Macaca mulatta: one gene and its partners. The protein of the gene in region 2 interacts with the protein of the main gene of each other region in a pairwise test. Links are inferred from orthologs where the notes say so. Each region holds a gene or a part of one and is shown on either strand. Other genes may lie near its edges.

Evidence for each region.
Region 1: the proteins of TRIM27 (region 2) and NUDT21 interact in binary tests that used the Homo sapiens proteins (3 or more experiments, as listed by UniProt). The two-hybrid records come from large-scale screens. The link is inferred for Macaca mulatta from reciprocal best matches to the Homo sapiens genes TRIM27 and NUDT21.
Region 3: the proteins of TRIM27 (region 2) and TRIM29 interact in a two-hybrid assay, tested with the Homo sapiens proteins (2 studies listed by BioGRID and IntAct). The link is inferred for Macaca mulatta from reciprocal best matches to the Homo sapiens genes TRIM27 and TRIM29.
Region 4: the proteins of TRIM27 (region 2) and PIMREG interact in binary tests that used the Homo sapiens proteins (3 or more experiments, as listed by UniProt). The two-hybrid records come from large-scale screens. The link is inferred for Macaca mulatta from reciprocal best matches to the Homo sapiens genes TRIM27 and PIMREG.
Region 5: the proteins of TRIM27 (region 2) and POLE2 interact in binary tests that used the Homo sapiens proteins (3 or more experiments, as listed by UniProt). The two-hybrid records come from large-scale screens. The link is inferred for Macaca mulatta from reciprocal best matches to the Homo sapiens genes TRIM27 and POLE2.
Region 6: the proteins of TRIM27 (region 2) and CCDC102B interact in binary tests that used the Homo sapiens proteins (3 or more experiments, as listed by UniProt). The two-hybrid records come from large-scale screens. The link is inferred for Macaca mulatta from reciprocal best matches to the Homo sapiens genes TRIM27 and CCDC102B.
Region 7: the proteins of TRIM27 (region 2) and SPATA2 interact in binary tests that used the Homo sapiens proteins (3 or more experiments, as listed by UniProt). The two-hybrid records come from large-scale screens. The link is inferred for Macaca mulatta from reciprocal best matches to the Homo sapiens genes TRIM27 and SPATA2.

The regions. Positions count from the first base shown.
Region 1 is NC_133425.1:52,007,898-52,012,006, forward strand, and holds the start of NUDT21 (cleavage and polyadenylation specificity factor subunit 5), read right to left. Parts: upstream 2,801-4,109; 5' UTR 2,669-2,800; coding exon 2,553-2,668; intron 1-2,552. Other genes in the region: prolyl 3-hydroxylase OGFOD1, read left to right, coding at 3,068-3,221. UniProt on the Homo sapiens protein: Component of the cleavage factor Im (CFIm) complex that functions as an activator of the pre-mRNA 3'-end cleavage and polyadenylation processing required for the maturation of pre-mRNA into functional mRNAs.
Region 2 is NC_133409.1:154,415,202-154,419,487, reverse strand, and holds the start of TRIM27 (zinc finger protein RFP), read right to left. Parts: upstream 2,801-4,286; 5' UTR 2,712-2,800; coding exon 2,292-2,711; intron 1,059-2,291; coding exon 963-1,058; intron 1-962. UniProt on the Homo sapiens protein: E3 ubiquitin-protein ligase that mediates ubiquitination of various substrates and thereby plays a role in diffent processes including proliferation, innate immunity, apoptosis, immune response or autophagy.
Region 3 is NC_133419.1:120,805,998-120,809,497, forward strand, and holds part of TRIM29 (tripartite motif-containing protein 29), read right to left. Parts: intron 3,014-3,500; coding exon 2,780-3,013; intron 1,191-2,779; coding exon 992-1,190; intron 1-991.
Region 4 is NC_133421.1:7,925,440-7,929,374, forward strand, and holds the start of PIMREG (protein PIMREG), read left to right. Parts: upstream 1-1,135; 5' UTR 1,136-1,219; intron 1,220-1,794; 5' UTR 1,795-1,829; coding exon 1,830-2,123; intron 2,124-3,935. UniProt on the Homo sapiens protein: During mitosis, may play a role in the control of metaphase-to-anaphase transition.
Region 5 is NC_133412.1:122,869,713-122,873,212, forward strand, and holds part of POLE2 (DNA polymerase epsilon subunit 2), read right to left. Parts: intron 1,910-3,500; coding exon 1,801-1,909; intron 974-1,800; coding exon 797-973; intron 1-796. UniProt on the Homo sapiens protein: Accessory component of the DNA polymerase epsilon complex. Participates in DNA repair and in chromosomal DNA replication.
Region 6 is NC_133423.1:11,949,062-11,952,997, forward strand, and holds the start of CCDC102B (coiled-coil domain-containing protein 102B), read right to left. Parts: upstream 2,801-3,936; 5' UTR 2,723-2,800; intron 1-2,722. UniProt on the Homo sapiens protein: During interphase, forms fibers at the proximal ends of centrioles to maintain centrosome cohesion. During mitosis, dissociates from the centrosome following phosphorylation to allow centrosome separation. Contributes to CROCC/rootletin filament formation.
Region 7 is NC_133415.1:102,752,112-102,756,074, forward strand, and holds the start of SPATA2 (spermatogenesis-associated protein 2), read right to left. Parts: upstream 2,801-3,963; 5' UTR 2,772-2,800; intron 1-2,771.

The DNA of each region.
Region 1 (4,109 bases), on a different chromosome or scaffold from region 2:
ACATTATTGCATCTACTACACTCAGCCATTCTTGAAAGGGGGAAAAAATCAAGGTTGCCAAAACTTTAAAAATTACTTTAAGGCCGGGCGCAGTGGCTCAAGCCTGTAATCCCAGCACTTTGGGAGGCCAAGACGGGCGGATCACGAGTTCAGGAGATCGAGACCATCCTGGCTAACACGGTGAAACCCCGTCTCTACTAAAATACAAAAAAAAAAAATTAGCCGGGCGAGGTGGCGGGCGCCTGTACTCCCAGCTACTCGGGAGGCTGAGGCAGGAGAATGGCGTGAACCCGGGAGGCGGGGCTTGCAGTGAGCTGAGATCCGGCCACTGCACTCCAGCCTGGGCAACAGAGCTAGACTCCGTCTCAAAAAAAAAAAAAAAAAAAAAAATTAATTTCAGAAGCCAAGTTCTAGGCATATGAAAAAGCTATAAAATAATTAAAATATACCATTTCAAGGATGCTTTAAAGATTTAAAGAACGTCCCCAGTAGACCCAAGGCTAAATCTAACACCATCATCCATAGCAGCAGCAGATATGCTACACAGCACGATGTGCCAGGCAATTTTTTCAAACGCTTTACATATATTAACATTTAATTCTCACAACCTGAGTTAGAAAGAATTAAGGATAGCCATTACACATCTCTGTTGCAAGAGCCAGCTCCAATATATCAGTAATGTCAAGATGAAATGTCAGAATTTTCACCTGTGAAATCAGAGTGCCAGCCCAGACATACATATTGTTCTCATCATACTGTGAGCTTCATAAAGCAGGGGCTACACCTTACTTCCTCACCACTGTATATCCAGTATTGTGCACAGTGCCTGGCACAAAGTAGGCATTCATGCAATATTTCCTGAAAGAAAATATACTGGGGAGAGCGCATTTGTTTTCAACTTAATATTAACTCAGGTGAACTTAAGTTCACAACACAATGATTATTTCTGAATATTTATATTTATATAGGAGAAGAAATGTACTGTAAATCAACCCATAATTTTAATAGAGCGAAGATTAAAATCTTGCTGAAAGCTAACTATTTTGCCAAGTTAATTCTACATAATGGCTTGGTGCAAATTAATTCAGTAATCAAGACAAAACAAGAAAAGACTGTGGGTTTTAGCTCTAATCACCACTGAAAGTAACCCAGAAGCTGTGCTTTCATACTTTTAAAAAGGATAACATTTGCCTTTACCATTTGATGGATTTTTTTCTTAATTTTTAAAAACATTTTTGTAGAGACAGCCTATGTTGCCCAGACTTGTCTACAACTCCCGGCCTCAAGTGATCCTCCCACCTCGGCCTCCCAAGGTGCTGGGATTACAGTCTTGAGCCGCCACTCCTGAGGACTTTTATACACACAACTATCGACTAATTCCAGATTTTATAAACCCAGCATTTCCATCATCTAAATTTCCAAGCCAACACATTTTACAAAATAAAACAATGTTAACCATCTTTTCAACTTCAAATCACTTTGGTTGGGGGACGGAGAGAGAACGTCCATTTATTTTAATATAAAACAAGAGAAACACCTAAACTGCCCTACGAAAACATCAATACCACCAAATCCTTGCACTTGTACACAGACTGGCATAAACTGGCCACTTTCCTCCATCAGGAAAATAGAGGCACCACGTTGCCTCGAAAACAAATCCTCAGACACGATTTTAAAAAGCATTACTGACAATTTCTTCAGACATCTCAAACGTCAATTACCTGCTACAGCGAGTCTGCTGCTGAGAGTGACCTTGAAATGCAATGGTTTCAAGTGTTGAAACGGAAAGGTGTTGAAAATAAAACACAGCCCACAATGGGTTTTCTGGTACAAACATTCTGGTTCCCTCCAGTCTGAAAGCCCAACCATAGCAGCATCCTTACTCCCAAGGAGGGGCCTACTTGGGGTGCCTGGGATGCTGGCGTTGAGACATCATCAGACGACGCGAAGGCATAAGGCATGAGGCAGGGCAGACAGCCCTGAGCACATGAATAACATGTGTTGTATTCATAAACCGAAATATTTAAGTAGCAATTAAAAGGAAAAAAACTAGACCTAGGCATTACAGCTGGATCTCGAAAGCTTACTGTCAGAGTGAAATGTGCAAAAATGATACTAGGTTATACCATTCGTACCACATCAACAATCACAAAGCAATACCATATACGTGATGCCAAAGCATAAACATTTCACGGGAAGGATAAAACACACACACACACACACACACACACACACACACACACACATTTTGAAGTTGGTTACCTCTGGAGAGGTGGGGAAAGGATGAGTTAAAAGCAAACTCCGTTTTTCCCCATTATGACCGAATACATAGGATGGGAACAAGCCTTCCTTTACAGAAAAGGACTCTTAACTCCCGGAGGTAGGAGGATGAGAAAGGGGCCTGAGGGAGCGAGGAAGGCGCGCATCCGCCAGCGGGAGTTGGAGGCTGGGAGGTGCGGAGGCGTGAAGCACGCCGAAAAGCCGGGGACGCGCGGGAGTGTCTGTAGGAGCGCTCACGAGAGAAATGCCCGCCAAGGCCGCCCCGCACTTACAGATTGATGGTGCGCTCCAGGGTGAGGGGCTTGGTCTGCTGGATGTACTTGTTGCCGAACTGAGTGACCCCCCGGGGCCAGCCGGTCTGCGAGCGATTGGGCGGTACCACAGACATGCTGGCGAGCTCCGGCGCTGGCGGCGAGCAGAAAGTGGGAGGCAGGGGAGACTTTCCCGGTGCGGGAAGCGGTTATCTGCAACCCCCTCAGCAGCTACCGCCCGCCATTAACAGGAGAGCGCAAGAGGAGGCGTAGGCACGCCGGAAGTGAACCCGGAGCCTCTGGCGGCAGGAAGTAGAGAGGAGGTGGCCTGCCAGACCGAGCGCCATTGGGCCAATAGCTGGTGGGATGGCTGCAATAGCTGGAGCTCCCATTGGTAAACCGGGTATAGGTTCCGCCTCCTCTTGCTTTGGTGATTCCCATTGGAAACACAGTAAAGGAGGCATGCCGGGAATTGTAGTCCCCTCAGGAAAGTAGCGTCTTGATCAGTGTGGCGTGGTTCTGTACCTTGGGAGGAGATGAATGGGAAGCGGCCAGCGGAGCCTGGCCCAGCCCGGGTGGGAAAAAAGGGAAAGAAGGAGGTGATGGCGGAGTTTTCGGACGCTGTTATGGAAGAAACCTTGAAAAAGCAGGTGGCTGAGGCCTGGAGCCGCAGGACGCCGTTCAGTCACGGTAACCGGGTGCTCTCAGGGAGGGGCCGCCACGCGGGGATCTGGGGACCTCTGAAAAAGCCCTGGGACTCGCGCGCAGCCCTGGGTAGCGGGGCCGCCAGGGAAGACGCTCTTGGAGGACTTTGACCACCTTGTATCCTCCTGCCTCGGCTGCTGCTCCCTTTCACTCCAAATTCGGTTTGAATTTAGAAATGTGAGAAAAGGGAGAAATGGAGGCCGGAGAGTTTTGGGAAGCAGAGGGTATGCAAGTGATAGTTGCATTCTGGAGTCACAGATTACTGAGTTAGAATCCTCTCCCCTGATTGCGCGTCGCCGGGCAATGGAATTAACCTTATTGAACTTCAGTTGCTTCCTGAGTAAAATGGGATAGTTCATAGTATTTACGTCAGAAAGTCTGTGAATGGGAGCAATACACTAATGCTTGCAAGCTTCAGTAAATGTTTCCCTGAGTAAGGCCCAATACACATCTGGACAAATACGGGAGTAGCTGATGTCATTTCTCCTGCAAGGGCGTTGCTCGGCTGTCCCAGGAGAGTCTAGCCAGGGCATTTGTGGCGAGCTGCCAGCTCGGCTCCCTAGTGTACTCGTCTCTACGCGCCTGTAGTTTGACTCCATGTTGTATGAAAATAAACGCGCGTTGACCAAGGAAAGGAGCCTACGTTGAACGATTCCAGCCTCAGTTTTAAATATCACCTTATGTGTTCAGAGCTCTGCTTCATGCGCCAGGCATCCCCTTCTAGAGTTTGCCGTAATTTCTCTTTCGTTGTCAAGTGCTTTGAAGAGGTGAGTCCTGGGTAGGCTGGATGCCTATAGAAAACGATGGCGTAGTGTTAAAGTGCAGGCTCTGTTCTCTCAGTTTCTACATCTGTAGGATGGAGAGAGTGATAAT
Region 2 (4,286 bases):
TTTAGTACAGACGGGGTTTCACCATGGCCAGGCTGGTCTTCAACTCCTGACCTCAGGTGATCCGCCCACCTCAGCCTCCCAGAGTGCTGGGATTACAGGTGTGAGCCGCCACCCCCCCCCATGCCCTGCCTTGTTTTTTTTTTTCTTTTCAAAACAAAATTCCCAGTTAGGTGCAGTGGCTCACACCTGTAATCCCAGCACTTTGGAAGGCCAAGGCAGGTGGATCACTTGAGGTCAGGAATTCGAGACCTGCCTGGTCAATATGGTGAAACCCCATCTCTACTAAAAATACAAAAATCAGCTGGGTGTGTTGGCACATGCCTGTAGCCTCAGCTACCTGGGAGGCTGAGGTGGGAGAATCACTTGAAATGTGAGGCAGAGGTTGCAGTGAGTCGAAACCTTGCCATTGCACTCCAGCCTGGGTGACAGAGTGAGACCCTGTCGGAAATAAAAAGAAAAAATTCCCATATACCCCTATCATAAATTAATACATCAGCCACTTGTCGAGGCCTTGAGAGATTGGAGGAAGAGAGCAGAGCAAAAAATTCAGAATTAAGGCATTGTCAAGAAAGGAGAATAACACAAAGAGAAGCAACAGTGGGACTTACACAAATCCACTATTAGCACTTGTCTGAAGAATGGTAACAACGCAAGCTAACTGTATCCAATAATTTTACCCATCTCAGCTTTGCCAAGGATCAACCTTGGTCTACGCAGTTAGCAGGTTAAACTATACTGACAGGTCTGATTTCCAAGGGTTCCAAACTTGGCTCCTCCACGCTTTCCCCAAAAGAAAGGGAATCTCTTAGTTCTCTGGGTGAGTTCCCACTGCCATGTGCAGTTGATCCCCCTCTACCTACAGGTTCTGGGTGACATGCTGGACAAGTCTAAGGGAAGTAACATCAGCTCTACAGAAGAGGGGAGCACCAGCAGAAGCGACTGTGAATTCCAACAACCCTTACCAAGAGTTCAGCTCGTGCCTGTTCCCCTTGGGCCCGACGTCTCTTCTTTAAATCTTTCACTCTTTTTAAATGGTCAAGCTGGTTCTGGATTTGCTCCTGAGAAAAGCAAAACAGATGGGCAGTTCAAAACTAGGTAGACCTTAGCATCAGCATGGTACTTCTAATCACACATGGAGTCCACACACCTGATGCCAAGTATCCAGTTGGCACTTGTTCTCAGGCCACACTGCCACCCACAAGAGAAAGACTCAGGGCGCAGGGGCCAACAAGCCACTCATTTGGCAATTTGTGTCTATCTTAGCAGCCTGTCGCTTCAACCACTCAGCTACCTCGTCAGGATTATTTGTGTCTATCTTAAACAATGAATCATCTACCTGTCCCTGGTAGGATATCGCATGACTTAGCGGAACTGTGACTGGAGTAGGAGGCTTAGAGTTATGTTGTATTGTAGCTCTTCCACACAAGCATACTGTGAAAGTGACTTCTTATTTCCCTCATGTGTGAAATGGGCAAACACCATCTTCCCAACCTACTCAAGAGTTCTCACCAGAGTAAGTGAAAGAATATAGCTGAAAGGTCCATAAATGTTAAGTGATTAATTACACATGAATGTATTCATATTTAAACACGGACATAATTGTGTATGAATTCCTGAAGCCCTCAACATACAGAAAATACACAGTATCATGGACTCCTTGAAGGTCACCTTACAACTGTTTTATATGTAATATTTTGTTTCCACGTTTCTGTTTAGCTGTGCCAGTTCACAGAGGGCTCTGTGCATCACATGATTCCATAATCTTCCTCATAACTGTTATCTCCTGAGTCTCAGAGTGGTTAAATGACTTAAGCAGTGAAGAGCCTGTTCTTTTCTGTGAGTTTCTAGACCAGGACGTATTGCAGGAAAGTGCTGGGGAAATGCTTATAGACCAAGGAATGGGCATCGGTCAGTTAATGTCCGACTGCGTTTTGTCTGACAGCCGACGAGAGTACATGTGTCTCTACAGCTCGTCGATGTGCAAGCGATTTTATGCACTTCTTTTATACTGTCAAAAGCATGTCTCCGTGTACAATGTGTCCGTGAGACAGGAAACATGGGGGCACACAGAGAAAGGAGAGTGGGGGTGGGGAGACTTCTGGCTCCCTCGCCAGCTACAGGTTTTCCTCCAAATCTGAGTGCTGAGGCTCTGGGGCGGACAGAGAGGAAATGACGGCTGTGAACCACACGTCCGGCTCAGCCATTTTCTAGGCGGAAAAAGGGAAGCCCCTTTGGCTCTCTCCTCCCTTTGTCCGACTCGCGTTCCCGCCCTCCCGGATCCGCGCCCTCACCTTGAAGCCCTCCACTGCCTCCTCGAGCGGCAGCACGCTGTGGCCGCGGTGCTCGCGGGAGCGGTCGCACACCACGCAGATGGGCATCTGGTCCTCCTCGCAGTAGAGCTTCAGGGGCTCGCGGTGTTTCTCGCACACGCCCATCTCGCCGCCGGGCCCCGACGGCCGCTCGGTGCGCAGCTGCTTCACCAGCTGGGTCACGTTGGCCAGGTGCCGGTTGGGCCGCATGTGCCTCTGCGGGAAGGTCTCCCGGCACTGCGGGCACGACACGTTAGTCTCTGCCGTGCCCCAGCAGCGGGCGAGGCACGCGCAACAGATGTTATGGCCGCAGTCGAGCATCATGGGCTCTGCGAAGTACTGCAGGCACACGGGGCAGGTGGTCTCCTGCTGCAGGCACTCGGCCACGCTCCCGGAGGCCATGGCGCGGGCCTGCGGGGGCTCACGGGCATGGGCCCCGGCGCCGAGCTCTGCACGGAGCCCAACTCTCCGGCGCTCTCTCCCGTTCGCTGTTCCTGGGAGGCACCGGGCGGACGGAGGGCGGTGCCTCCCGGGCCCGTATCCCAGACGCGCCCGCGCACCGAAGGCTCAGAGTGGCCGGGCCGATCCCTGCGCCTGTGCCCCCTGAGCGAGTGCGGGAATACAGCCGGCTCACAGAGACTCGCGGCCACGCTACTGGGGCAGGAACGGGTAGCCAAGGGTCAGGATCCCAGGGCCAGGCGCGCAAAGCGCGCAAGACAACGTGGCCGCGTCCGAGCGGATCCCGGCGGCCGCGTAGACCCCACCCCGGCGCGAGCGGAAGAGGCGGCTCGGGGGGCGGGGCTTGGCCCGCGCTTCTAGTGTGTGACAAGATTTCGTGGCCTCGGGGCCCGGGCTGCTTTCTCTAGAAAGGCCTGGGAGGCTCCGCCACTCTCCCTTGGGCGGGTCGCGCCGAAGCTCTAGCCTAGGGGACTGGTCACAAAAGCAGATGGTGCCACACGCTCCGGGCCTACAAGCTTCCGCGACTGCCGGGCCCAGGCCCCTAGTGTTTAGTTGGGTTTCTTCTTGGTGCCCAGGTCTCAGCCCCTGCTAAAGATGGCTTTGGCCGCGCGCAGTGGCTCACGCCTGTAATCCCAGCATTTGGGAGGCCGAGGCGGGTGGATCACGAGGTCAGGAGATCGAGACTATCCTGGCCAACATGGTAAAACCGCATCTCTACTAAATATAGAAAAATTAGCCGGGCGTGGTGGCAGGCGCCTGTAGTCCCAGCTACTTAGGAGGCTGAGGCAGCAGAATCGCTTGAACCCTGGAGGCGGAGGTTGCAGTGACCCGAGATCGCCACTGCACTCCAGCCTGGGCGACAGAGCGAGACTCCGTCTTGAAAAAAAAAGAAAAGAAGAAAGAAAGCTGGCTTTATATAGGTGCTGGGGAGCGCAGACATCTGGCTTCCCCAAGAGGCTGGAGGATGAGGAGGGTCACCGTCTGAGCCCACCTGATAGGTGAGGCCTTTTATTAAACAGACCCATTTGTAGGCACTTGCAGTTTTGTTTAGAAAAAGAAAGGTTTAATTATCAGATGGTAACATTTCTGTGTGGCAATAACAAGCCCAGCTCTGCTACCTCTCACTTGTGCCCAAGCAAGTTGGTTTACCATTCATTTACCTCAGTTTCTCCTCGTGTGAAATGGGGATGATAACTGTACCGCCGTAAAGAAGTAGATTTCGTTACATCTTTTACTTTTTGAACCATAAGGTTGTTTATCCATTAAAATAGTAACAAAATGCCCATTACATAGGGTTGTTGTATTGAGGAGCAACTAAAAATTGCTTGCTCCTTTCTGAAGTATAGAGAGACTAAGAATCCTACAGTGACCCAGGGTCTTGGAGTCCCACAATACTCGTTGTCTTATCATGCAGTAGACCTCCAGCATTTTTAAGTTGCTTTCTTATCCCTTGCTTGATGTCTCCTGCTTTTCTTTGAGATTTTCTCAATATTGTCCTGCTATCTGAGCAATACGGGC
Region 3 (3,500 bases), on a different chromosome or scaffold from region 2:
ATATGGCTTCTTGCTGAAATGGCTTATCTGTCCTTGGGTGTGACTGAATGTCCCCCACATTTCACAGGGACACTGTGATACTGCCATCACCAAGGTGCACAAATGGCCTCCTGAACCCCAACCCTTCCGCACACTCCTATCCCCCTCATGTCCTTCTCCTCCCCCAAAGAATCATATGCTGTGTCTGGAGAGCAATCAGGGGTCCTTTCCTTTGGGGTATTCACGTCTAGCATTCATTAAGAAGGCTGTACTCTCAAGGCCCCGTGCAACACCTGGGACATCGGGTGGGGCCTTGGGGAAAGTGCCCAGGCTTCAGGCCCTAAAGGGACTGGGTGGAAAAGGACTTAACAATGTTGTTTCTCAGGTTCAGAGGTTTTCTGTGAGATGATTCAGTTGACCTCTGAGGGGACAGCATGACTCAGAAGAAGAGCTGACTTCAGGGGAGCTGGTGAGTCACAGAGACACTGTCCCACCATCCCCAGCCCAGCCCACCAGGCCAAGTCCAGCCTCTGGGCTCAGCACTGCTCAGCATGGCCATGATGACAGGCAAGTCCTCCCTCCAGGCATGGCTGCAGTTCTAGGTCACGTCTGCTAGAGTCTGCAAAGCCACCAGTTTGGAGTATGGCCCGTACCAGGGGCAGGATCCATACAGCTGCCGGGCGGGGCCCGGCAATTAGATGTAGATCTGAACAAAACCAGTCTCTGAGTTTGATGGACAACCCACAGAGAGGAGGCATTTGTGCAGCCAGTGCCCAGGATGTCCCTGCTCTGGAGGCCTCTTGTTATAGCTGCATAACTTTGGCAGCAAGTTCAAAGGAGGGGGAGGGTTAGAATCCCTGTATCCTAGTCCAAACAGCCTGAGGAAGGGTGGATGGGTGGGTAGGAACAATGAGAATAAGCTCACCGGACGCCAGCCCATGTCAGGCAGCAGGAATTGATTTGGGACAGAAAGGTCCATGGCCTTGGGGCCCAGCCACGAGAGGGGACCTACCGTTCTCCATGTGGTTCCTCTCAATGAAGTTACGGCTCAGGTCCGCCTTGCACATCTTCTCAACGTGGCGCATGCATACATTGAGCAGGTCGTCCTTGAAGTTGCCTAGCGACTGTCCCAGGCCCTCCCCCTCCAGCAGGACATGATAGGTGGGCAGGGGTGGGGGGAGAGAGTAATTGCTCATCAATGCACCAAATTCCTACCAAGAAAGGAAAAAACCATTAACTGCCTGGGTCTTCATGAGCTATGAGGACTCTTCTCTGCCAGGGGCTCTCACAGTGCAGCTGGGGATCTCAGTGCTGCAAGCCCCACTCTTCCTCACTGGACGTTTGTTTCTTCTGTAAGGTGAAAAGGTTCAGCTAAAACTCACTGGATGCTAACAGCCCTGATGGCATTGGCATTCAGATGTGTGACTCCACGACTCCCACCGCTAAAGTGGGTGCATCTGTTTACCTCATAGGGTTTGTGAGAGGGACACAAGCTGTGAAGACTGGGAGTGAATGCACTAAAGAAATGCAAGGAATGACTATGGTATTCAGGGTCAGCCACGGTGGTATTTCTTTCTTTCTTTGTTTCTTTCTTTCCTTCCTTCCTTCCTTCCTTCCTTCCTCCCTCCCTCCCTTCTCCTTCCTTCCTTCCTTCCTTCTTTTTCCTCCTTCCTTCCTTCCTTCTTTCTCTTTCTTTCTTTCTCTCTCTCTTTCTTTCTTTCCGAAGCCTCACTCTCTCGCCTAGGCTGGACTGCAGTGGCACGATCTTGGCTCACTGCAACCTCCGTCTTTCAAGTTCAGGCAATTCTCCTGCCTCAGCCTCCTGAGTAGCTGGGATTACAGGTGAGTCCACCATGCCTGGCTAATTTGTTTTTGTTTTTGTTTTTTGTAGTAGAGATGGGGTTTCATCATGTTGGCCAGGCTGGTCTCGAACTCCTGATCTCAGGTGATCCGCCCGCCTTGCCCTCCCAAAGTGCTGGGATTACAGATGTGAGCCACCACGCCCGGCCCACAGTGGTATTTCTACCTTTACATGCCATGCTCAGTGCTGCCTTTGCACTTCTCATTTCCCTTCCTCCTCACCGAAGACTCTGTCCTCCCTCTCAAATCCTAACCGGCCTCCAAGACCCAGTTGAAACTCCACCTCCTCCACAAAGCTGTCTTAGCTTCCTCTAGCCCGCCTGCCCTTCTCTGAGCTTCTACAAGCACTTATCTCCTGAGCCATATGCTTTATCATTTAATTACACACTTTTCTATATTGTTCTCTAATTGTACATGTCTTATCTTCCCAGCTGGATTGCAGTTGCTTGGGGGCAGAAACCATGTCTTGTACTTCTCTATTCGCCACAGCACCTAATAGAGTACTGGGCATGCAGTAGTATCCAAAACACTCTAGCAGATGGAAGGATGAATGGACGAATAGACAAATGGACTAGATCCAAGATAACAAATAGGCAGCACTCCTACGCCACTGCCCCTCTACCCGATTCACTGATCTCAGAAATCTTTCCTACCGAGCCTACGGCACTGCTAGCACATATCAACTGAAGTTCATAAAAGGTGATATTTGTGTGCCATCTTGAGAGTAGGTAGAGAAATGGATTGGATTAAAAAATTAAACAGAGAGAATGGCACTTGGATAGATGGATGAATGGATGGATGGTTGGATGACTGGATGGTGAATGAATGGATAGATGAATAGGTAGATAAGTGGATAGGTGGATGGATGGATGATGGAGGGGGGTCTCGAAAAGTGCACGGGGAAATTGAGGGCTTGAGTGACAGAGGAGTGGCTTGTTACCTGAAGAAACAACACAGAGTCGCTGATGCTGTGCAGCTGCTCCCGGGTCTGCTTGTCTTCATTCAGCACCTTGGCCCTCTCATCCAGAGCATCCACGATCACCTTCACTTGGTCCACAGCATCCTGCTCCCGCTGCTCCAGCGCAGCCCTCACTTCCTCCTTTTGCTTCTCCAGGTCCCGCACCAGGTCCCGGAAGTTCTGCTCCAGGATGGCCTTCTCATTGGTGGTGAAGCTCTAGAGGTCCAAAGTCAGGGAAGGGATTAGGCAGGGCTTTAGTTAGGGAAAGAAATCTCCCTAGTTGGGTATGTCTTTAGGTTTCCAGCACAGGGTCAGGGCATTCCCACTGCCCTAACCTGGCAAGTCTGTTTAGCCAAGAATCTCATTCAAAGGCATCACTGAGGGATGCCACCTACTGATAGAGATAGCCAGGTTTGTTCACAGCCCACATTCCTACCGTGGCTCCTTCCTCTTGGTGGGTTGATATGAGCCATCATTCCCTGTGGGCCCCAAAGTTCTCCCATGGGTCACAATATGCTCCCTGAAACTCTAACCAGAACCAAACATCCTTCAGAAAATGAATGTATATGTAGAAATGTGTATTCAGAAAATTAATGTGTATGCCAGCTGTGTATGTAGTCAGCGTCAAGCAGGCAGTGATTTCAGATTGTAGTTTGCAATTACCCAAACCACGGCAGACACATATTTAGCCACAATGGCATAA
Region 4 (3,935 bases), on a different chromosome or scaffold from region 2:
AGTGAGCCGAGATCGTCAGGCTGCACTCCAACGTGGGCAACAAGAGCGAAATTCTGTCTCAAAAACAAACAAACAAATGCCACCAATATACGAATTTGGGCATTACATTTCCAACATGTGAAATTTGAGGGACACATTCAAACCACAGCAGAGGGTCAAATCAGTTAATAAACTGCAACACCAGTACCTGTGCATACTAAGGGCCATATACACGTTAATCATTATCATCATCCTTTCGTTGGAAATCACTGAGGCCAAAGGAGTGGGTGAGACCGCCCAGAAACGAAGAGGGCTGAAGACAGTCTTTCAAGAAGTCAGCATCTCAGGCTCTTGTGCCGGAGAGGAAACAAAGAAACCAGCCAGGGGACTGGGCAGCACAGCTCTGAGGTCACCGAAAGGAGAAGGATGAACTTCTATAATGGCTGATTGTGTTTGGATGCTAAGGAGAGGAGAGGCAGGCATTCCGCTGAGAGAGGGAGGGATGCGTGGGGCAAGGCGGGGACGGGGAGCTGGTGTAGGCGGGAGGAGGGCAGACGAGTACTCTGGTCTATCCCCGCTTCCAGGACGCATCTTCTGGGAGGGGGGCGCGGAGCATGGATGGCGAGTATGGGGAACTCAGAGAGGGACAGTGTCTTGTCACAGGAAGGGAGGGTCAGGAGGGAAATTTGAAAGGAAACGTCTCTGGGAACCCAGGGCTCCGCACTGCCAGGCCCTGGCTCCTTCGGACAAAACCACTGAGCAAGAAAGAAAAGCCAGACCCCTTGGCAGGATGGACAGGGTCCCTGCCCACTGCGGGGTCTGAGGCCTGAGGCCTGAGCCAGGAGGCCTAGATCCCAGGACCTCCGCCTCCACCCCATGGATCAGAGCAGCCTCAACCCCGTGCGCGCTCCAGGGAGGGGACCCGGCGTGCGATGCGCGGGGGCTGGGCGGGCAAGGGCGGTGGCCCGGGCGGGACGCATAACACAAAGCCCGGAGCCACGAGGCTGGCGGCAGGGAGGGGGCCGGAGAGATGAATGGGGACGGCCGGGCCAATCCGAGCGCAGCATTTACAGCTGCGACAGAGAAAGCCAATCGGATCCCTGGGGCGGGGACGGGGGCGGGGACAGAACCAATCAGCTGTGAGGACGGGGCCTGGGGCGGAGCCGCGCAGAGTTTCAAACCGGCTGTGGTGGGCGAGGAGCAGCTGTGCTGGGCGTGTGATCCGCGTTGGTGCTGTCGGGTGAGTGCGGGCGGGGCACAACAAATTTCGTTCTTGTTCCCCAGGCTGGGTGCAATGGCGCGATCTCGGCTCAAAACAATTTTTTTTGTTCAGAGGGGAGGGCATTGGGTTCGGACACGCACGGCCTGTGGAGGCGTCTGGGTACTACAAGCGTCGGATCAAAATCAGGGCGTCTGGTGGGAAGGCCGGGATCTGCGTGGGGGCGCGTTTGGTCTGGGCGAGCTGGTGAAGGAGATGGTGATCGTGTCCTGGGCCCAGCGCTGAAGCTCGGCTACGGCGTGTCTTGACCCCGCCTCCCCTCCACGCCTGAGCCAGAGAGAGGAAGGAGGTTGGGATGAAAAGACAGCTGTTTTGGAAACTTGAAGTGCGGGACAGCAGAAATGCTGCTGACCCGAGACCTCTCTTCCAGGAAGCATCCTCCTTCCCGCACCCACACTTGCCAACTCGCCCGCTCCCCGCTCGCCCTCGCCACCCCGCTGCATCCCATCTCTTCCCCTGTGTCCAGGGTCTCTGTGGGGCCTGGAAATGGGGATGGGGAATGCCTTGCTGACCTGCTTTTTTGCCCTCCTCCCCAGGGTCTAGTGGACAGAGAAGACTCTTGGCCAGACAAATGGCTTCTCGGTGGCAGAGCATGGGGACCTCTGTGCGCCGGAGATCTCTCCGGCACCAGGAGCAGCTGGAGGACAGCAAGGAGCTGCAGCCTGTGGCCAGCCATCAGGAGACCTCTGCAGGGGCCCTGGGGTCTCTGTGCAGGCAGTTCCAAAGGAGGCTGCCCCTGAGAGCCGTCAACCTCAACCTCTGCACAGGCCCCTCCTGGAAACGCCTGGAAACCCCAGAGCCAGGTCAGCAGGGCCTCCAGGCTGCAGCTCGCTCAGCTAAGAGCGCTTTGGGTGCCATGTCCCAGGTAATAGTGACAATACTAATCATCTTTTTTATGGAGTGTTTCCTTGGTGCCAGACAGTTCCTGCCCTCAAAGAGTCTCAAGAATATAGACTCCAAGAAGACAGGGATTTTGGTTAGTTCACTGCTGTTTCCCCCGCACCCCAAATAGTTCCTGGCACATATAGGCACTCAACAAATAGTTGAATGAGTTAGTGAAAACATGTCTTGGAGGAAACAGATGCTCACAATACCAGGTGATAAGAGCTGTACGTGATAGGAAATTGCAAGCAAGTGGCCAATAGCGAGGGCTCGCCAAACACAAACTTAGCCGGTGAAGGCTTCCCAGAGGAGATGATTCCAGAGTTCACCCAGGGAAGCAAAGGTCAAGGGGTATTTAGGGTAGGAGAAATAGTGCAAGTCCAGAGCCCCTCAGGTCCAAGCCTAGAGCTGAGGGAAAGCAAGGTGTACTGCCAACTCAGCCGTGTACCCCTGAGGAGAGCCAGAATTGTAGTCTGGGTATGAGCAGAGGACAGAGAGCAAGGTAGAGCCGGGAGAAAGGACATGAAGGAGCTTAGACTCTCCCAGGAATGATCAGGAGTCTGGAGGATTCTAAACAGTGGAAAGTCTGGTCTCATTAGCATATTAGAATTTGTCCTTTATCTACGTGATGGAGAACGGAATAGAAGCAGAGGTGCTCCTGAAGGAGACTAAGGATCTGGACTTGCAGAGGATAAACTTCAGGAGCTGCTGAGAAGGTCAGTTAGAGGGGATTTGCTGTCAAATGAGAGGTGCTGGCAGGAAGATGTCCTTATATTGGATGTAAGCGTCTATGGGCCCTTCAACCGATGCATCTTTAAACCCAGAGCTGGAGGTGTAGACGTGTCACTTAGAAAGGACAGAAGCCATTAGGATGAACAGACCTCCAGAGAGAGGACTGGGGGCTGCAGAGGTTTCTCCTCGGTGTCTCATTGGGAATTCTGAAGACGAGAGAATTCTCCAGAAAGAGAGTGGCTCTTTCTGGACCCTCTGCAGAGAGTTCTCTGAGCCAAATGTTAGTCTTTATTTGGAAGAACTTTTTGATTGTTTTCGCCACCCTCAGGGATCAGAGAAATGAAATGAATTTGTCCAAGGTCACGTAACTCATCAGATTTAACCTGGGCTGGGCTCCAACCCCTGGGCTCTGGCTTGCCAAGGCAAAGACAGTCGAGCTGATGAAGAAGAGCCTTCACAGCCGTCACCCAGCTGGTGTGAAAGGCCCAGGAGTTGGGGCTTGGTCCTATGTGCAACAAGAAGCCATAGAAGGGTTTCGAGCAGTTGAGTGTCACAGTCAGAACTGCCCTTTAGAAGGATCACTATGGACCACTGTAGAGGGTGGATAGAGTGAGTGAGACCCGAGGCAGGAAGACAGGCGCTCTCCTGGTGTGCAGGGGGTGCTGGGCGGGGGAGCCTGCTCTACTCTGGGCCCTCTCCTTCAGTCCTGGGGTCAATCTGTGTCTGGAAAGAGAGTTTGGACTTAGACAAACAGGCTCCAGGCACCAGGGGGATCCTCCTGCTGCTGACTGCTGCTGTCATATCCAGGAGCTCTGAGCTGGGTCCCTGCCGTGGACTCATTCTACGAGGAGTCAGTCACATCCTTCACCCTGGAGACTAAAACAGCCTGTATTTACAGGACACTTGGTGGGTCTAGGGATCGCTGGTAGGGTCTGGAGACCAGGGTAGTTTACCCTTGGGTTTTTTGTTGTTGCTTGTTTGTTTGCGAGACAGGGTCTCACTCAGTCGCCCAGGCTGGAGTTCAGTGGCACGATCTCGGCTCACTGCAACCTCCACCTCCCGG
Region 5 (3,500 bases), on a different chromosome or scaffold from region 2:
TTTTTTTTTGAGATGGAGTCTCGCTCTGTTGCCCAGGCTGGAGTGCAATGGCGTGATCTCCACTCACTGTAACCTCTGCCTCCCGGGTTCAAGCAATTCTCCTGCCTCAGCCTCCCGAGTAGCTGGATTACAGTTGTGCGCCACCACGCCCAGCTAATTTTTGTAATTTTTAGTAGAGACGGGGTTTCACCATGTTGGTCAGGCTGGTCTTGAACTCCTGACCTCATGATCCACCTGCCTCAGCCTCTGAAAGTGCTAAGATTACAGGCATGAGCCAGCACGCCCAGCCTAAAAGTCAATTATATTTCTGTAGAAATTCTGAAGCAATGTCAAGATTCTGAAGCAATTTCAAGGTTCTACATAAAAAGTAATAAAATGTGTACCAATGAGGTTTCTACATTAATCAGGCTTAGATTTTTGGGACCTGTGCAATTTCTAAAAATCAAAATCATTTTCAAAGGACAGGTACCACCAATATACAGACTCTGAAGCAATTCCCAGAAGGGAATCCCAATATAAGTTTTAAAGAGGAGAAAATACTGTTTTGGATTCATGTTTTGGTATGGTTGTTTTGTTTTTTTTTTAAAAAGTCACATTACTTTATAGTCACATACTATACTGAAAATTTAAGAACTTTCTGTGTATACCAACTTTCTGTGTATAGAAACTTAATTCAGTGTTTCCTTAATAGCATATTTTTATTTCAACAATAATTTTATTAAATATATATTTTAAATTAAAAAATGTACTCTAATCTTGACAAATAATGACTATATAAGATTAACTACATTCTTACAGGGTTTATGCAGAGGCATTCAGTATTCGTGATAGTGAAGGGATCGTATTTGTCTGCAATGACAAGTAGATCGGGCACAGGATACACTCTCAAAGCATAGTCATATGCCCAATACACTGGGCAGACATAAAGAGGTAGGGGAGTCAGATGTCCTTGGGATAAGATAGTCTTTACAAACTACAAAAGAGCACAAAACAAAACAAACTTCAATTCATTTGCAAAAGTGAAAATAGCTAAACAAATAATTTCAAATTAAACCAAAAGGAACCAGAAAATTTGAGAAACAACTAGGAAAGCTTTGACTCACAGAGCTTTGGGAGACACTAATTTAAAAACGAAATGAACTATTCTGTATTTTAGGGAAAAAAAATCTATGAGTTTTCATTTAATAACATATATATATACATCATTATGCTGCCCAGGCTGGTCTCAAACTCCTGGCCTCAAACAAGCCTCCCAAAGTGCTGGGATTACAGGCATAAGCCACTGCGCCTGGTCCATAAACTTTAAATATTATAAAATGAATAACACAAATGCTCTGTAACATCTATTTCCATACTTCTCAAATGGGGGTATATGTAACCTGGGATTGATAACTGTATGTGAGGGAACCTTGAAGCTACAAGATAAATACTGCACATTCTTGTGATATGGACATACTATATAAAATATGTAACCAATGGGATAAATAAGAACAGTTTATTAAAACAAATATACATATATTTTAAAGTATGATTTAAGAGTTTAAAAGACAAAACACAAAGCTTGAAAGAAATTTTCTGCTTATTCTCAGCTTTTCTCTGTCCTTTAGGGTATACACTTTGGTAGAAAGCTGCGAAACACTGACTTCACTAACAGAAATTAACATACTGACAAAAGTATGTTCAAACTATTTTGAACCATAAATAAATGTCCTAACCCAAGGACAAATTATTAAGTGGCTTAATAAAATTTTATATAATGCAACATGTAAGACAGTTTAATAAAAAAGATGTTTCACTTACATGATTAGGAATAGCCAAATTGCTACTAGGAAAACGGACGCAGTTTCTGCACATTTTATTTACTAAGTCTTCACGGAAGACAATAATTTCCTGTGTACAGTACTGAATTCTGAAATGAAAACAGTAGTTGAATTTGACTTCTCAGAAAAAAATGAGATTAATTTTAAAGGTAAAATCTCTTAGAATACAAGCCCATTCCCACATCAACTGTTCACCATACAAAACTGCAACCAGAGTCTGTCTATTCATCCATTCATTTAACAGCTATGTATTGAGCTCTTAATATATGCCTACCCCCTTCTAGGGATTAGCGAACAGAACCAAGAGATCCCAGCCCTCATACAGTTTACATTCTAGTGAAGAGTGGGGCTAAGAAAATAAAAAGCAAACATAATTATATAGTATGTTTTAAGATAATTAAGTGTATGAGAAAAAGAAAAAGACAGGCTAAGAGGGATAACATATGTAGGAAGAGAGAGCCTAGAAGGCTGGCATATTAATAGGATGATCAGAACAGGCAGGGCTCATAATTTAGTGTGACTTGAGCACAGGCTTGAAGCGGAAGAGGGACTTAGTCAAGCAGATATCTAGAGGAAGCGCACTGCAGGCAAAGGGAAGATGTAGCACAGGCCCTCAGACTGGAGCTTGCCTGGCATCCTTGAGGAACAGAAGGGAAGCTAGGGTGGCTGGAGTAAATGGGGAGGAGAGGAAATCAGAGGGAGAACGGGGCCAGATCACACAGGGCCTTGATTCCCACTGCAAGGATACGGCTGTCACTAAATCACATGAGGGGGCCCTTTTTCCAGGATCAGGAAGATGGACTGGATATGTCTTATGCTTTACAGGATCACTTTCACACTGCATTAAGAGTAGAATATGGAGGGGAAGGGGTAGAAGCTGGAGACCAATTAGGAGGCTATTGTAATAATCCAGGCCGACCAGATGGCAGAGCGGGGCTCTGCTAGCAGTCCATGGTCTGTTAGGAACTGGACCACACAGCAGGAGGTGAGCGGCAGGCTGCAAGCAAGCAAAGCTTCATCTGTATCTACAGCCGCTCCCCATCAGTTGCATTACATCCTGACCTCTGCCTCCTATCAGATCGGTAGGGGCATTCGATTCTCACAGGAGCACGAATCCGGTTGTGAACTGCACATGTGAGTGATCTAGGCTGCACACTCCTTGTAAGAATCTAATGCCTGATGATCTGTCACTGTCTCATCATCCCCAGATGGGACCATCTAATTTCAGGAAAACAGGCTCAGGGCTCCCACTGATTCTATATTATAGTAAGTTGTATAATTGTTTTATTATATATTACAATGTAATAATAATAGAAATAAAGTACACAATAAGTGTAATACGCTTGAATCATCCCAAAATCACCCCCACCCCCCTGGGGTCTCTGGAAAAACTGTCTCCTGTAAAACCAGTCCCTGGTGCCAAAAAGGTTGGGTACCACTGTGGTAGAGGGTTGTGGAGGTGGAGGTATAGACAGGTGGCAGATTCTGGATATAATTTGAAGTTAATAGGACTTCCTGAAAAAACATATGTGAGAGAAACCCTAAAGTGTTTGGCCTGAACAACTGGAATAATTGTTATTCAGGCCATGAAGGTGCCACGAACTAAGATGGAGAAGTCTACAGAAGAGGTTAGGGGCGCTGGTGGGGAGGAAGATCAGGAGTTCACTTAGGTTGGGATGG
Region 6 (3,936 bases), on a different chromosome or scaffold from region 2:
CTGATAAGGGTTTGCTCTCTGCTTCCAGGATGGTACCTTCTTGTTGTGTTTTCACATGGCTTAAAGTTGAAGGGGAAAAGGGGTCTAAGACAATCCCTTCAATCTCTTTTATAAGGTCTCTAATCACATTCATGAGGGTCCCACCTCATGATTAAATCATGCCCAAATGGCCCCACCTCTTAATGTTATCATATTGGCAATTAAGTTTCAACATATGAAATTTGGGTTACACATTTAGACTACAGCAATATGTATGCAAAATACACAAGGTATATATATATATACCTGTACAAGTGTAGCTTATCTGAAAGTCTTTTTAAAAATATTGTCAAAATAGTAGAATCTTTTAAATCTCAAAAAAAAAATCACCACTTGAGGTAGATAAGCAGAAAAAAACACTTAAAATTTTCACCGCAGAATATGTTTTAGCATGTGGAAATTTAGCATGTTCTCTGAACAAAAAGCCTAAAAAGTTTATTGGTTTATTAAATCATTTTCAGATTAATGCATTATTTTGATCATTTTCACGTTGCCTAGATCAGTGATGTGCAACGGAAATATAATGCAAAACCACATATGTAATTATAAATTTTCTAGTAGCTACACTTAAAAATAAAAACATGTGAGATTAATTTTAATAATTTAATTAACTCATATCTAAGCTATAATCATTATAACATATTATCAGTACAAAAATATTGAGACATTTTACAGTTTTATATTGTCTTCCCAATCCAGTGATCCAGTGTATATTTTACATTTATAGTATATCTCGTTACAACCTCTCTAATTTCATCAGAAATATTTAATTGATATTTATTTTATAGAGACATGGTCTTGCTCTGTTGCCAGGCTGGAAGGCAGTGGCAGGATCCCAGCTCACTGCAACCTCAACTTCCCTGGCCCAACTTATCCTCCCACCTCAGCCTCTGGAGTAGCTGGGACCACAGGTGTGTGCCACCACATCCAGCTGATATTTTTTTTTGGAAACAATCTCCCTCTGCCGCCCAGGCTGGAGTGCAGAGGTGCAATCTCGGCTCACTGCAAGCTCGGTCTCCTGGGTTCATGCGTTCTTCTGTCTCAGCCTCCCAAGTAGCTGGGACCACAGGCGCCTGCCACCACGCCTGGCTAATTCTCTGTATTCTTAGTAGAGATGGGGTTTCACTGTGTTAGCCAGGATGGTCATAATCTCTTGACCTAGTGATCCATCCGCCTCAGCCTCCCAAAGTGCTGGGATTACAGCCGTGAGCCACCGCGCCAGGCCACATCCGGCTAATTTTTTAATTTTTTGTACAGATGGGGTCTCCCTGTGTTGACCAGGCTGGTCTCAGTCTCCTCACCTCAAGCAATCCTCCTGCCTCAGCCTCCCAAAGTGCTGGGATAACAGGCATGAGCCACCGACGCCTGGGACTTGATCAGTATTTAGATTTCATAAAGTTTACAGTTGAAAAAGTAGATTCACATACCTCAGTTGTTCCAACCATATTAAAAAAACTTTCCAATAGCTGAATCAAGTGCCAGTTTTTGAGTTTACTGAGATTAAAATTAAATATTCAGTTACTTCATCACACTAGGCACATTTCGAAAGCTCAATAGCGACATATGGTTAGTGGCTACACTACTGAAGAGCACAAATCTAGGTCAACCTGTTTTCGTTGTTCTCCACATGTGAACTTAAACTGTAACGCAAATATAAAAAGATATTATTTTATTTTGCATGATGTGGAAGACAGAAAAATTTGAAATACATTAGAATGAAAAAAAAATTGAATATGGGTCATTCAGAGACCTTGCCAAGAAAGTAGAAAAGCTTCTGTATAAGAGTATCGAGGCGATGGTACTATTATAAAGCTGTTCCACCACCGCGAGAACATTACCATCACTTCAACTGTCCTCTTACGTTTTAGTCTACTTTTTTCAAAAAAAAAAAAAAAAGAAAGAAAAGAAAAGAGAAACAAAAAGAAAAATTGAATCTGCAGAGGGCTCGCGTTTGTGCATGCTGTATGCACAAAGGGGGTGACATTTAGGGCTTGCTCTCAATTACAGTGCAATTTAATCTTCCAGTCACTAGGAATAACAACGTTTTATAACATTTCGGCCTGTTGGAATTTTGAACCTAAGGTGAACCGGCTGACATCATATCCCCCTTCTGCTGTCATAGGTTTTCAAAATTTGGTTTGATCTAAATTCTCTGGTACCTTATGTCCCATAAAAATTTCATCTAATTCGGAAGTAGTGACTGCTGCAGTAACCGTCTCATGAAAGTATATGGTTTTTACAAATCATTGTCGTGTAGAAGAAAAAACAGGTAGCAATATAAATATTTCATACTATTTATTTAGTCCCAAAATAATCAGAAAAGAGTCATCAAAAAATATCCTACGCTTAACTTCATGTTCTCAAGTTTCAAGAGAAAGTTTTTAAAGAGGCAATCCTTACTTTGGCAAAAATGCATTAAAGCTTGCTGCATTTAAGAGATGTCCCATTATGCAAACAGGTTGAAAGAATATTACAAGTACGTTTTGGAAAAATACGGAGTGTCGCGCAGCTCAGCAATCCACAGTCTTAATGCGCGCCTCTTTCCAGGAATTTGATCCAGCATCAAAACCCACAGGTGCATTTACTGCATGGGAGTAGCAAGTAAATGATGTGCCAATATTCAACCTGCAACTGCGTCGTCGGAGCCTACCTCACCCTCAGCGTAACTTTCACCGGTACTCACCTTCCCAGAAACTCGCCCCAGTGAACAACCACCGTTGTCCCTAGTAAAGCCCTTAAGCAGGGTTCCCACGCTCCTGGGCTGGGCGGGGCGCCGGGGGCGCAAAGCATTCTTAAGAACACGACTGCGCAGGCGCTACCCTCCTCGCGCAGGCGCCGTACTCCCCCTCATAGCCAGAATTAGAGACCAGCCGGGTGCTGGGAGGTTAACGAGGCCGGCTAGTCCCGCCCCCGTATTGAGCGCGGTGCTTCTCTTCCGCTCCGGGTGGGGTCTGCTTCCCTTTCCGGGCGGGCAGGCAGCGAACCCCAGTGTCTTTATCCCTCTTTTGCACAGAGTCAGCTTCTGCAGCTCTCCCTGGCTGGCATGGCAGCGTGGAGGAGTTGGGCCGCTCTGCGGCTCTGCGCCACAGGTAATGGGCGCGCAGCGGTCGGAACCTGGCCCCGCCGTGGGGCCGGGATTGGGCTCGGGTCTGGGGCGAGGCCTGCGGGGCCCGCGGAGATGCCCACCCGGTCCCCGGCAGCGTCCTGCCGTCCCCGCCCCACCGCCCTGCCTGGCCGTGAAGGAGCGGACACCTGAGGGTCCTTCCGCCGCTGCTGTGCGGGACCAGTGCTGGACGTGGGAAGGGCGCGCTGCCTTGTGTTTGTGTTTTTCTCATTGTGGCAGGAAGTTTCAGTAAAGCTTACTCCTTTGATGGGCAAGAAGGATGCCGCCGTCCCACCTTAACGACCAGATCTTGTCTTGACTTTAGGTTCCGAGTCTTGTTATGTTTAAGGGTTTTTACCACCAGTGCTCAGAGAGGGTGGTCGAGGACAGATCAGGGTCAGGCCGCCGGGATTGTGCGGTGTGAAAAGGACCTGAGTGTGTGTCAGCGGTTCTCAGCTGCCTCCCGTCAGCACGGAGTGCCCTCATTCTCACTGGGGTCCGCTCACTTAACCTTTTAGAATCCACTCTGTGTCAGACACGGCCGTGTAATAAGTATTAGAGTTACAGCTCGACTTTCTTTCTATTTGGGGGTAAATATTTTGAATGACATTTGGAGTTTTTACTGAAGAGATAATTGCTATTAAAGCAAAAGAAGTATAGAAGAATGCTGTCTATATTCCAAAAAGATGGAATGGTAAAAAGGAGAAGTAAGATGAGAGTGAAAATGAGGAAAAAGGAACTGTGTATATTAGCTTTATTGGCTTACCTAGAACTTGGCCGGTCACCATGTGGTT
Region 7 (3,963 bases), on a different chromosome or scaffold from region 2:
CTGTAATTTTTTTCCAAGGAAGTCAGCCTTGAACTCAAAGAGACTGATTTTTTACAAAGTCAGCCAGTCGCAAGCTCGGCTCAGCGTATGCTGCTCTATAATCGCACCACAGTCCACACCCTTGTTTGTTGCTGAAAAACAATAAATAAAGCAAAGGGATCCAAACAGCCCAGCTGATGTTCAAAATCTGAACAACAAGGACAGGAAGTCCAAAATATCTAAAACAAATCTCCAAACAACCTGGGTAGGTGAGGGAAAAGGCGGAAGAAAGTAAAAGCTAAAAGATAATTAAGGGCAAGACATGCCTGGACAACATAGACTCCATCTCTACAAAAATAATAATAATAATAATTATTATTATTATTATTAGGTGGGTGTGGTGACATGCACCTATAGTCTTAGCTACTTGGGAGTCTGAGGTGGGGGGATCCACTGAGCCCAGGAGTTTGAGGCTGCAGTGAGCTATGATGGCACCACTGCACTCCAGCCTGGGTGACAGAGCAAGATTCTGTCTCAATCAGTCAGTAAGGAAAGGAAAGAAAGAGACTAACAATTACTGAGGTCCTACTATGTGCTAAGTATTGGGCTTCCCACTTTACCTACATCATCCCATTTAATCCTCACAACTCTATAAGGAAAACAGGCTCTCCCATTAAAACAACCTGTCCAACAGAGTTTGAAAGGATCAGAGCTGGAATCTGAACTCTTGTTGGCAGGCCCTGATGCCTGGGGCTTTCTCCAATTTATCTCACTCATTTATTGTTACATCAGTACCATTTACCAAGGGATTACTGTGTGGCAGCTCTCTGCTAACTGCTCTATGAAAAACAATGAAATCCATAGGATAGATCCAAGGTTAAAGAGGAAACTGAGGCTCGGAGAGGCCAACTCACTTACCCTAAGTCATAAGGCTAGGAAGAAGTGGCTCTGAGCTCTGAACCTAGGTCTAATGCCAAAACTCTGACTCTTGCAAAGCCATCCTGCTGCATCTGCTGGACAGCTCTACTCGAAAGTGTCTGGCTAAGTTAGAATGCCTTATGGCGGCGCGAGCAGAGTTGAGTTACAAAAATTCCTGTAGTAGCAAAATTCCCATCTTCCCACACCGAATGGGGCTAGGAGAGCTAATCTCTATATGATGTAAGCTCAAGGGCCGAGGAAAGAGGCTGGCCGGAGACATCGGCCAGTGATGAAGCAGCTGACATCATCCCTGCTGAAAACATTTTCTGAGAATACAAGATGCCTTGTAGCTGGTCATAGCTGGTGTTTTTTCTGAGCACAGAGCCAGCAATTCATTCCCAGCACTCTGCAAGAACAACAAAATACGCTCTCTGCAAAAACATCGTGGTTACAGGAGACCGAGACAGCCCAACGACAGAAGCTGTTAATTTCTCCAAGCAACCCAAGGATTGGAACGCCAAGCCGTGCCAGTCTGGTGGGAGAAAAAAAAAAAAACCCAAAAGACAAAAAAACAGCACTGTGAATATCCTGAACATAGAGGCAGGCAGGTGCCCAGAGTCAACAGCTCCAGTCAGCACCTCCTGAACCCACAATCTAGGCACCCTCTTGAAAAGCAAGTCAATGGAAAGAGAGATATTGCAGTCAGGGAGGCAGTGGCTTATTTAGTTATTTTCTAAACATCTAAGAGGAAAGCTGTATCTGTTTAGACTCCCACTGCATGGAAGTGAAGTGATTCCGAGTAACAAAGCATTCGCTTGGCTTTACCTCAGCTGGCCCATTCAAGCAGAAATGTTCCCCAAGCAGTATTTGAAGGCGCCCCCTCTCTGCACAGGCAGAGCTATTTTGGTCTGTGCACTGCCCCTGTCCACAGGTTTACACATCCCTGGTCTAGCTCCATCAGCCTCCAAACAGCAGACGAGGAAGTCAGTTCAACCCCCTCCACCTCCCCACCCACACCAATGCACTCGTTCCAAGCAAGAGGCTCCGAGACACATCCAAGGCACCTTCCACGGGCTGTGAAACACCAGAAGGTCCCCACACTCCTACTAGATTCCAAAGAAATTCACACAGAGTCCTTCCAAACCTCTGAAAATAACCTCAGCGGTGCCGAAAGAAGCTTCCCTAGTGGCAGCTGCCTCTGAAGGAAGCTGTTTCCCTCCCTGCAAGGGACAGAAGCTGGCGGCTGCTAAGTCCCAGCTCGGTCATTCCTACAGCCTCGGGGGGCCACGTCAGTTGTGAAAAACAGCCCAGTCTCAAATTCTGGCCCTCCCCACGGGTTCGTGAATTGAATGAAGTAACAGGAACTATCACTTACTGGACGCCTGCTGTATGCCAGGGGCCCTGCATGATCTCATTCCATCTCTACTCCAGCCCTAGCAACCAGGTTCAATCACACTTAAACAGGCAACTGAGGCTCTTAAGATGAAGTGACTTATCCAAGGTCACACAGTGAGTACAAACCCAGGTGTGCCGCCAGAGAGTCTGAACTGGGAACCCCTGCGCAGTAACCGCCTCGTGGCGAAATCGGGGTGTCCTTCTGTTTGGCCAGTCGCCGAAGAGAGGGTGCTCCTCTTGAGCGGCCCTGAGCCACCCTCGGTGGGTTCCAGGAGCTTACAAGGCAGCTCCCAGGAGAATGGGGATCCTGAGGATAGGCTGGGGGTCCCGGGAGCGCCGAAACAACGGGCCCACCTGTAGTCCTGCCTGACGTGAGGGGACCCCGCTCACGGGCCAGCAGAGCCCTGCCGCTGTCTGGCGCCCCCTCCACCTGGGGAAGCCCCGGACACAGTTTCCGCTCGCGGCCGCCCGTCACTCACCCTGACACTGCCGCCGAGGGCTGCCCGGCCGAGGGAAGCAAGCGGGAGGCGCGGCTGCCGCCGGAGCCGGGCCCCACTGGGCTCTAGCCGCTCCGGCCGGCTGCAGGGGTACTGAGACCAGTACCCGCGGGCCAGCAGCGACCCGGAAACACTCGGCCCGGAAGTGAAGTCGCCAGGAGGCGGGTCCGAAGAGAGGGTGGACCACGGCTGCGCGCTGGCTCCGGGAAGCGGTCGATGCCCGCGGCCGACGGAGACTACAAGCCAGAGGCCGAGAACAAAGCGGAAGGCCGAAGAACGAGGACGAAAGCGGCGGAACGGCAGTTTGGAGCCTAACGAGCCATCGTCGCGTCTGGAGCTAGGACCCGGAAGTAAACAGGCCGGACGTGACGGAAGCCACTCGGTTTAGGGATGGTGGCTGGCCGGGTTGTCATGGAAACCGCTACGGAGCCTGGAGCTGCATTCATGACTCCGCACAAGCAAGCAGGGGCTAACGGTCGGATCCCTCGCCCCCATTGTACGAACAGAAATACTGAGGCTCAAAGAGAGCCAGTGAGACGCTGAAATCACGCGTGATTGGAATCCAGCCTTGCTAGGGCTGTCGGTGTTACGGGCTGTGGGCGACGGTTAAGAGCGTGGGTCCCATTTTTAGCTTTGCCACTTACTAGCTGTGTGACCTTGGACAAGTTACCTAACCTCTCTGAGTCTCAGCTTTATAACCTGTAAAATTAATAAAGCCAGGCGTGGTGGCACGCGACTGTAGTCCCAGCTACTCGTGAGGCTGAGGCGGGAGGATCGCTTGATCCAAGGTGTTCGAGACCAACCTGGGCAACATAGCAAGGCCATGTCTCTTAAAAAAAAAAAAAAAAAAAAAAAAAAAAGCCGGGCACGGCGGCTCACGCCTATAATCCCAACACTTTCAGATAAATTATATATATATAAAATATATATAAATATAAAATATATATATAAAATCTGACATCCCCACCAGACCCTGAGCTTCTTATTCATCTGTTTCCCCCCAAGCTCCGCACATGTCTGATGAGGAGGCACACAATAGATGTTCATTGATTGTAGGATTCTCACTCTGAGTCTCGGTGACCCCAGCTAAAACCGGTGGGCCTTGTGTGATGAATCAGTGACTTTAATACTGGGAAACGTTTGGAGAACCAGCAATCTGCTGTCCAAACAGTAG